Coturnix japonica: one gene and its partner. The protein of the gene in region 1 interacts with the protein of each later gene in a pairwise test. Links are inferred from orthologs where the notes say so. Each region holds a gene or a part of one and is shown in the gene's direction. Other genes may lie near its edges.

What was found.
Region 2: the proteins of C11H16orf70 (region 1) and BCAS3 interact in binary tests that used the Homo sapiens proteins (3 or more experiments, as listed by UniProt). The link is inferred for Coturnix japonica from reciprocal best matches to the Homo sapiens genes PHAF1 and BCAS3.

What each region holds. Positions count from the first base shown.
Region 1 is NC_029526.1:282,724-286,541, reverse strand, and holds part of C11H16orf70 (UPF0183 protein C16orf70 homolog), read left to right. Parts: intron 1-926; coding exon 927-1,024; intron 1,025-3,238; coding exon 3,239-3,351; intron 3,352-3,818. UniProt on the Homo sapiens protein: Plays a regulatory role in autophagic activity. In complex with BCAS3, associates with the autophagosome formation site during both non-selective and selective autophagy.
Region 2 is NC_029534.1:6,694,339-6,698,156, reverse strand, and holds part of BCAS3 (breast carcinoma-amplified sequence 3), read left to right. Parts: intron 1-430; coding exon 431-485; intron 486-1,889; coding exon 1,890-1,965; intron 1,966-3,743; coding exon 3,744-3,818. UniProt on the Homo sapiens protein: Plays a role in angiogenesis. Participates in the regulation of cell polarity and directional endothelial cell migration by mediating both the activation and recruitment of CDC42 and the reorganization of the actin cytoskeleton at the cell leading edge.

The sequences.
Region 1 (3,818 bases):
TCCTTCTTTGTAAACAGCAGGTGTAGTGGGGCACCTCCTGTGGCAGGCTCTTACCAGCTGTGTCAGGAAGCTGCCTTCCACACACCCTAAGAGCTTCCTAGACCGTTTCTCTCTGCTCTACTATATTTCAAGCAGACATCTGTAAATTCAAATGCCCAGCAAGAACAAATATGAGCAGTTGTGTGACTTCTGCTGGCTGCTTGTAGAATCTGCCTCTTCATCCTGGTTGGGTGGCCTATAACCAGGACAGTAGCCTTCTTGGCATTCCCCTCCATCCTTATCCGAAGGAGAAAAGCTGAAAGCTAATCATAATCCAAATAGAATATCCCAAGAAAGTACCTTTTCTTGTACGAGTTGCAAATGCATCTGTAAATTAAATGGCTGAGTTCCTAAGAAGTTCAGTTTTTGTACCAAAGGTCTGAAAGTGTAAGAATGTGATGATAAGTAGAGCAGAAGATCTATGCAATGAGTGAGTGTTTACCAGGTAAAGGCATTTTGCAAACCAGCATCAGTGTTAAAAGGATTAAATTAATGCAGTAGAAGAGAAAAAAGAATTTCAGCCTTTAAATAGGTTGTATTTAAGTTCTCAGAAATAGGCTATAAGTTCAAATGTTCTTAAATTTCTAGTTCGTGGTGGTAAAACCAAGAATACTTGAATTCTTATTGCACACGCTGCACACATGGCTAATTGACAAACTAGTGCCATCTTTTGGTGGATCGGTGTAGTGAGTATTTCATCCCAACTTTGGAATCCCTGAGTAGTGTAATGTAAACTCACACCATGTACAAGGGTGGATATTTTTACTTTTTGCCTCCACGTGTTAGACTCACCTGGGTTGGTAAGTATGTACTGTATTTCTAATGTAATATTTGACCTGAAGAGTTTCTACTGTGTAAGGTTAACAAGGGTGATTCTCTCTCCTCAGCCTAACTTCGCGCATGGTCTGGCTTCTCTGCAAATTCCACATGGTGCGACTGTGAAACGTATGTACATCTACAATGGAAATAGCCTGCAGGATACCAAGTGCGTATGGCTGGTTGCACAGTTTTGATTATTTACTATTTGCGCTATTTCCTCCTCATTTATGTAGGGTTTTGCAAATGCTAAATGTGATTATATATGCTCAGTTTTTTATTTCAGTCTTCTAGGAATTAGGTATGCAGAATGCCTTTACATATATAAACCTCTTTCCAGTCACCATAGGCATACCAGTACCGTCCAGCCTTGTTATCAGGTGCTGGTGTGATTCTTGTTACTATGAAATCAGCTTGGTCTATCTATTGTAGGCTAATTCAGATTAATTCATCAGATGAAGGAGGAAAGGTAGTGAAAGCCTGATTATTCTTACATGCTGCTTATACTCTGTTTTTTGTCTACTCACAACCTTTTTCTAGACAAATGCAACTCCTTGTGGTAGGCCGTCAGTCAGTTCATAGTATGTTGGTGCCATTTACATCATGGCAGAACCCTGCCAAGAGTCTTACACTCTCTTGCAATATAAAAATAAATTATTTTAAAACTTAAGCTATATGTGTAATCTACCATATAGCCTATATGTCTTCAATTCCCTGTCTCAGTTTACTGCTCCCATGAGGTAACTGATGGAATAGTTGTGTTTGAGCATAGTTAGTGTTTTCTGTGGCATTGTGTTCTGCCCTCTTCTACGCAGTAATTTTTTGTACAGCATTTGATGTTTTGCTTCTTCTAGAAACTCTGTTCCTGGAGTTTGCTACTCAAGTTAAAACTAGATGATTGCAATTTAATGGCAAGAGAAGGTTAATGCATCAGTAGCTTGCTGCTAAGGAAGGAGGAAACCTTGTTTACATGAACACTGTCTCTTAATTAGAAATATGCACTTTAGAGAAATGTTGTCTGGGTCCATCCACGCCATGCTGTGCTACAGTGAGAGCATGCACTGATACAGGGCTGTGCTGCACATGTTTGCCAGCTTAGCACCTGCCCTGCAGCTTCAGCCACTGGGAGAAAGCCCCATCAAACACAAATAAAGCAGCTGTTTGATTGAAAGTATCTTGCTGGTTCCTGGGATAGTTTTCTCAAATATTATTGAAATTGAATTAAAACGAGACCTGTCCCAGGAAAGTAAAGTGATTGTGTGTGGTTTATCTACACAAGCTGCTTTTACGTTCTGGACATCATGGAGGATGAGAAGCCAGATATGAGCCAGCATTGTGCACTTGCAGCCCAAAAGGCCAACTGTGTTCTGGGCTGCATTAGAAAAGGGGTGACCAGCAGGGAGTGGGAGTTGATTGTCCCCTCTACTCAGCTCCATCTGCAGTGCTGCATCCAGGCCTGGGGCCCCCAGTACAGGAAGGACGTGGAGCTCTTGGAGCAGGTCCAGAGGAGGCCACTAAGATTTCAGAGGGCTGGAGCAGCTCTCCTATGAGGAAAGGTTGAGGGAACTGGGATTGTTTAGCTTGGAGAAGGCTCTGGAGAGACCTCATTGTGACCTTCCAGTACTTGAAAGGAGCATATAAACAGGAGGAGGAATGGCTGTTCACAAGGGTGGACAGTGATAGAACAAGGGGGAATGGTCTTAAACTGAGACAGGGGAGGTTAAGCTTGGATATTAAGAGGAAGTTTTTCACCCAGAGGGTGGTGACGCACTGGAACAGGTTGCCCAAGGAGGCTGTGGATGCCCCATCCCTGCAGGCATTTGAGGCCAGGCTGGATGTGGCTCTGGGCAGCCTGGTCTGGTGGATGGCGACCCTGCACATAGCTAGAGGTTGGAACTGGATGAGCATTGTGGGCCTTTTCAACACAGGCTGTTCTATGATTCTGTGTTTCTATGACTACGGGTTACCAGGGGCAGTGAGGGCACACGTTTAAAATGCTTCTGCTGCACTTAGGTGATGTAGCTAGTTCACGTAGTAAGTACCTTTAAAGATCATACAACCTCTATTTTGCTGCACAAAGTCTGAAATGGCACATCTTCATAGGAGCTATTTGGAAGCTAGATGTAGTAATTTCTAGAGTTTTTGAAACTTGCTGTTGGTTTCATTAATAGTAAGGGTCCTTTGTTTGAATCTTACCTTGTTATTCCTTTTCTTTTTCTCCAGGATTTCTAATCCTGATGTGAAATTTAACTTTTCATCTTCAGTCTGAGCTCAATGCTGCTTCGTCTAAATTAACATGCTCTGTTCCAGCGAACTGCCATCAACTTGGTAATGGTACATTGGAAGACTGTGTCCCATGTATGTGTTTGTGTGGTTGTTTCAGGGCTCCCTTGATGCCACTCAGCTGTTTCCTTGGCAATGTGTATGCTGAGAACGTCGATGTGCTGAGAGACGGGACTGGACCCTCAGGTTTACGGCTTCGCCTACTCACTGCAGGTATTGGTGACACAAAGAACACCCTTAGGCTCTTTGCAGTGCAGTTGTAGGTGTTTTCAAAAATAACCTTATTTTAAACGATTGGAAGCAAAACAAAACTCAGTCACGTTCTCCTGGCCTGGGAGACATCATTGAGGGCTGTTCTCTGCAATCCCAGTTGACAAGAATGGATGCACGTTGATGCTACAGCCTGAGACTTCACTTCAAATTCAGTTCAGCTTTAATTTGCTGTGGAATCAGCAGCAAGAATGATAGAGGCTGATGCATAACTTGTCCTTGTATGTGCTTTCAGAGGTTGGCAGACCTTAGAAATTAAGGAAAGACTGACTGAAAATGAGACTTTTTCAGTGACTTTAACAATGCATTGTCTTTTTAAGAAGAAATGTTGAGATGTTTGTAACAATTTTTACTAGCAGGCCCTGCTTTTTTCTTGTGCCGAGTACTAGCTGTGTATGTATTAAGGAAGC
Region 2 (3,818 bases), on another chromosome or scaffold:
CTTTGTCATTGTACATAGTGTACCTGAGGTCATAAAGTTTACAGGCCCCACAAGGGAAGCTCCAGCCCTTGCTGTAAGCACTCTTATATGGCATAAGATCCAGTTCAAGTAGAAAAACACTGAGAAGTGATTTCCAAAAGCCTTTTTTGCTCTGATTATTCTAACGTGGAGTACATGGTTTCCTCTGTTATGTTTTACGCCTTTTCCTGAGCAGCTGTTTCATGAATAGGTATCAATTCACATTTAACATACTTTTAGGTCACTTTGTGTATATGTTGTCAGTGTGTGACAGCCTATTGAGTAACTACACTGCATCCTTAGTAATTTTCTGTGTTGTCGTGTTTGTTTTCTCTGTCAACGCCTTATTTAATATATCCCTAACCACTAATGGACTCCAGTAGTAGTGAAAAATTCTCCTTCTGTTTTCAAGGGAGCAGTCATATATGGAAAGTGTTGTTACTTTTCTTCAAGACGTTGTGCCACAGGTATGTGCATGTCTTAAAAGCTGTCTTTTCAGTAGCGAAGCAGAAGTCTGCCTTCTGCTTTCTTCCTTTCCCTTTTTGTCTTCTTTTGTCCCTTTTTGTTCCTTCTGTGGAGAAATACAGTGCTTCTGGTTTTGTAGTTTTCACAGGTAGCAGCAGCATGAAATGGTCATTTCTGTATTGCTCCTGGGCCTCTCAATAGCAGAGGGAAAGCAGTGTTGGAAGGCTGCAGTCAGTAGTGAAGTGTTGCAGCTAATTGCCCATAGCCTCAGGAAACTCTCTTAGTCATTCAAATAAGAACCATCTTGGATAACTGAAGTCATGAATTTTTTTAATGGTAATAATAATAATAAGAAGAAATCCCCTTGCTGGTATTGGCTTGTGAAATGCATTTTTGGACTCATGGTCAAAATTAAATTAGTCAAACTTTCATTTAAAAGATTGCTACGTTCCCTATCCCCCCCTTCCTGCCTTTGCTTTTCTCTCTGTAGTTAAAGGGTACAGTCTGTGTTTTATTGTACAAATCAGTTTGCCTTGGAAACATGGAATGTGATCTGTTTGGAGAAGTAATACCCACACTTACTTTTTAAATCTGCATTTTTAGCTTGTGTTATTGCTTTTCTGGCATGTATAAAGTGATTATATGGTCTCTTTTCATATTTATTCCAATATATTGCACTGCATTTTGCCCTAATTCATTTGGAAGTGATGGTATTTCTACTGTAGCTCACATTCTTAATACCACACTTTCTCCTGAGAACTGTAAAGCACACAGGTTGGAAACACTGCAAGTCTCCTTCAGAGTTTCTTTTTGCATCTCATCTTATGGGAATTTGTAGAACGCAGAACTGAAACGCAGATTTGTTTTACTGGAATTACAGCTTATTCTTTTAAAATGGCTGTATTAAAGATGTCACGCATGTAATTACAACGTGTCAGTAAAATAAACTGTAGTAAAAGTGTTTCTTTCTTCATTTTTGCTTACAAAGCATTTAAATGAATAAAATAAGTTTTAAGAATAAAAATGCTTCTTGTGAGAACCCCTGATGTTGCTCTTAGAAGCAGTGTGCCACTGCTAGAAGTTAAACATGGCAGAAGTCACTCTATTTTAGCCTGACTAAATGGCTGTGGGTCCTGTAGCATTTCTGACCTGCTGCACAGGGTTTATTGCTGTGTGTGTCTGCTTCAGTGAGTGATGTTAGAACTTTGAGTTACACCCAGCATGCTGCGTGTTGATCATGGACTCATTCCTCTTAGAAGCAAAATGTCACAGTAATACTGGCTGTGACTGTAAGGTACAGGTATACCTGTTTATTTATTAACTTCATAGTCTCTTCTGTGTTCTATACAGGGAGGAAAAAATGGGTGTTACATTTTCTTATTTTGAGCCTTTTGCTTTTTGCCCAGGCCTACAGTGGTACTCCTCCAGCAGAAGAAAAGGAGAAGATCATATGGGTCAGATTTGAGAATGCGGATTTGAATGGTACGGTTGCATTTCTCTCTCAGTATGTAAATACTTTTGTTCAGTACCTTCCAAATGGAACAGATAGGCCCTGCTACTGCATCTAAAGGCAAACTAGCTCTTGCTTAGGAAGAAAGGCAAATAATAAAAGATCCTATTCTTTTCCTTATGATAGTTGAAGACAAAGCAGAGAACTGAATTTATTTTGACCACTGTTTGGTTTTAAAGCCAGATTATCTAACTGCAGATCCAGTCCAAGACCTGTGTGTATGTCCATTGATATGTATAATTCATAGCAACCTAGGAAGGGTGAATGGTTAGGGAGAAAGATCAGGAGATTCTATGATTTCCTTCAGGTAAATGGAAGCAATGTCACAACATATTCTTGCAATGTAACTTACTGCTTGTAGTGTGTCTCAGTAAGTTGTCAGCTAGAGCTGCTGACTGGCAACTGCTCTTGGGCATCAAGAAACAATGGTAATGGCCACAGGCTTTTGCTAAGAGCGTCAAGTAAAGTACATATCCAGATGACATGTATTTCACCTCAACCCATCCCAATTACGTTTTCTGAACGAGGAAGATTACTGACTGAGTGGGAAGTGGTTGAATGCTGCTGTTGAGTATCTTGCCCGAATGGACTAACCACTTTGCAGTTGCTTGCAGTGTAAAGTACAAGTGGCTGCTGTAACTGGGGAACTAAGAGATCTGCATTCCTGATCAGGCTTTTCTGGAGAGTGCAAGAGTTGGCTTTTCCAGAGAACTGCTGTTGTCTGCCATCTTCTTTTCCTGTCTATAGCACTGTGATAAAGGCTTATTCTGGTCTTATATGAAGTAGTAGCTATAGCCAGAGCCTTGATGGGGAATTTTCAGACCCTCCTTGAGGTTAATAGGGAAGATTGTTATGTTTTCCAGCTGTTGAAATGGCACGGAGGCTGGCAGTTCATAAATTCATGGTTCTTAGAACAAGAAAAGTCCTATAATCTCATGCAGGGTATTATGTCCAGCTTTAGGCTGTCAGAATTTGTTTCTTTGTGAGCTCCTTGTCCTCTTCTGTTTATTTTTAAAAGTTCTTGGCCATTCCCTCTTTCGGGCCCTTTCTACAGCAAATTGAAAATGCTTTACAATATTTTTCACAATCCTGTATTTTGTCTACACTTACCTTTATGCAACGTAATGTGTTTGGACCTGAACTTATCTTATTTCAACATCCTGAATGTTTTTCCTCTCTTTCTTTGATGCTTACATATTTGCAGGGATCTTTCATCCATCCATGGAAGTAGAGTTCTGCAGGGCCATAGTCAAGAAAGGCTCAATTTTCTTGTTATTATGTTCTGAGGCACTTTTCTTCCTGTGGATTTCCTTCTTTTCAGGAGGTTGATGCAAAGATTAGTTGTACGGTATTTAGGAAGAGCTTTGATCAGTCCGTATGTTTGTAGCAGTAGAATGTGTTAGTTAATTTTATTGGTCTTTTCTCCCTTTTAAAAGTTTGCTGCATTATATTAATCACAGCAGCGAGTTATGGAAGTTCTAGGTGTATTTTGTGATAGCTCTTGTTTAATGAAGGATGTTTTTCTCCATCGTTTGTAACCTCTCTGTGAAATTTTAATAAATCTATTATGCTTGCCTAAAAGAATGCATCTCAATGTTGTTTCAACATAAAAAATGTGATCCACATCGCTTTGCCTTTAATTACAAGAGCAAAAACATTCACTGGGGAAACGCTATGTAGTATAGCTGGTGATAACCATGGCTGGTCCCAACCTGTTAACCAATGGCTTTGCTCTTCAAACCCAATTTAGATACATCAAGGAATATGGAGTTTCATGAAATACACAGCACTGGGAATGAACCACCGTTACTGCTAATGATTGGAT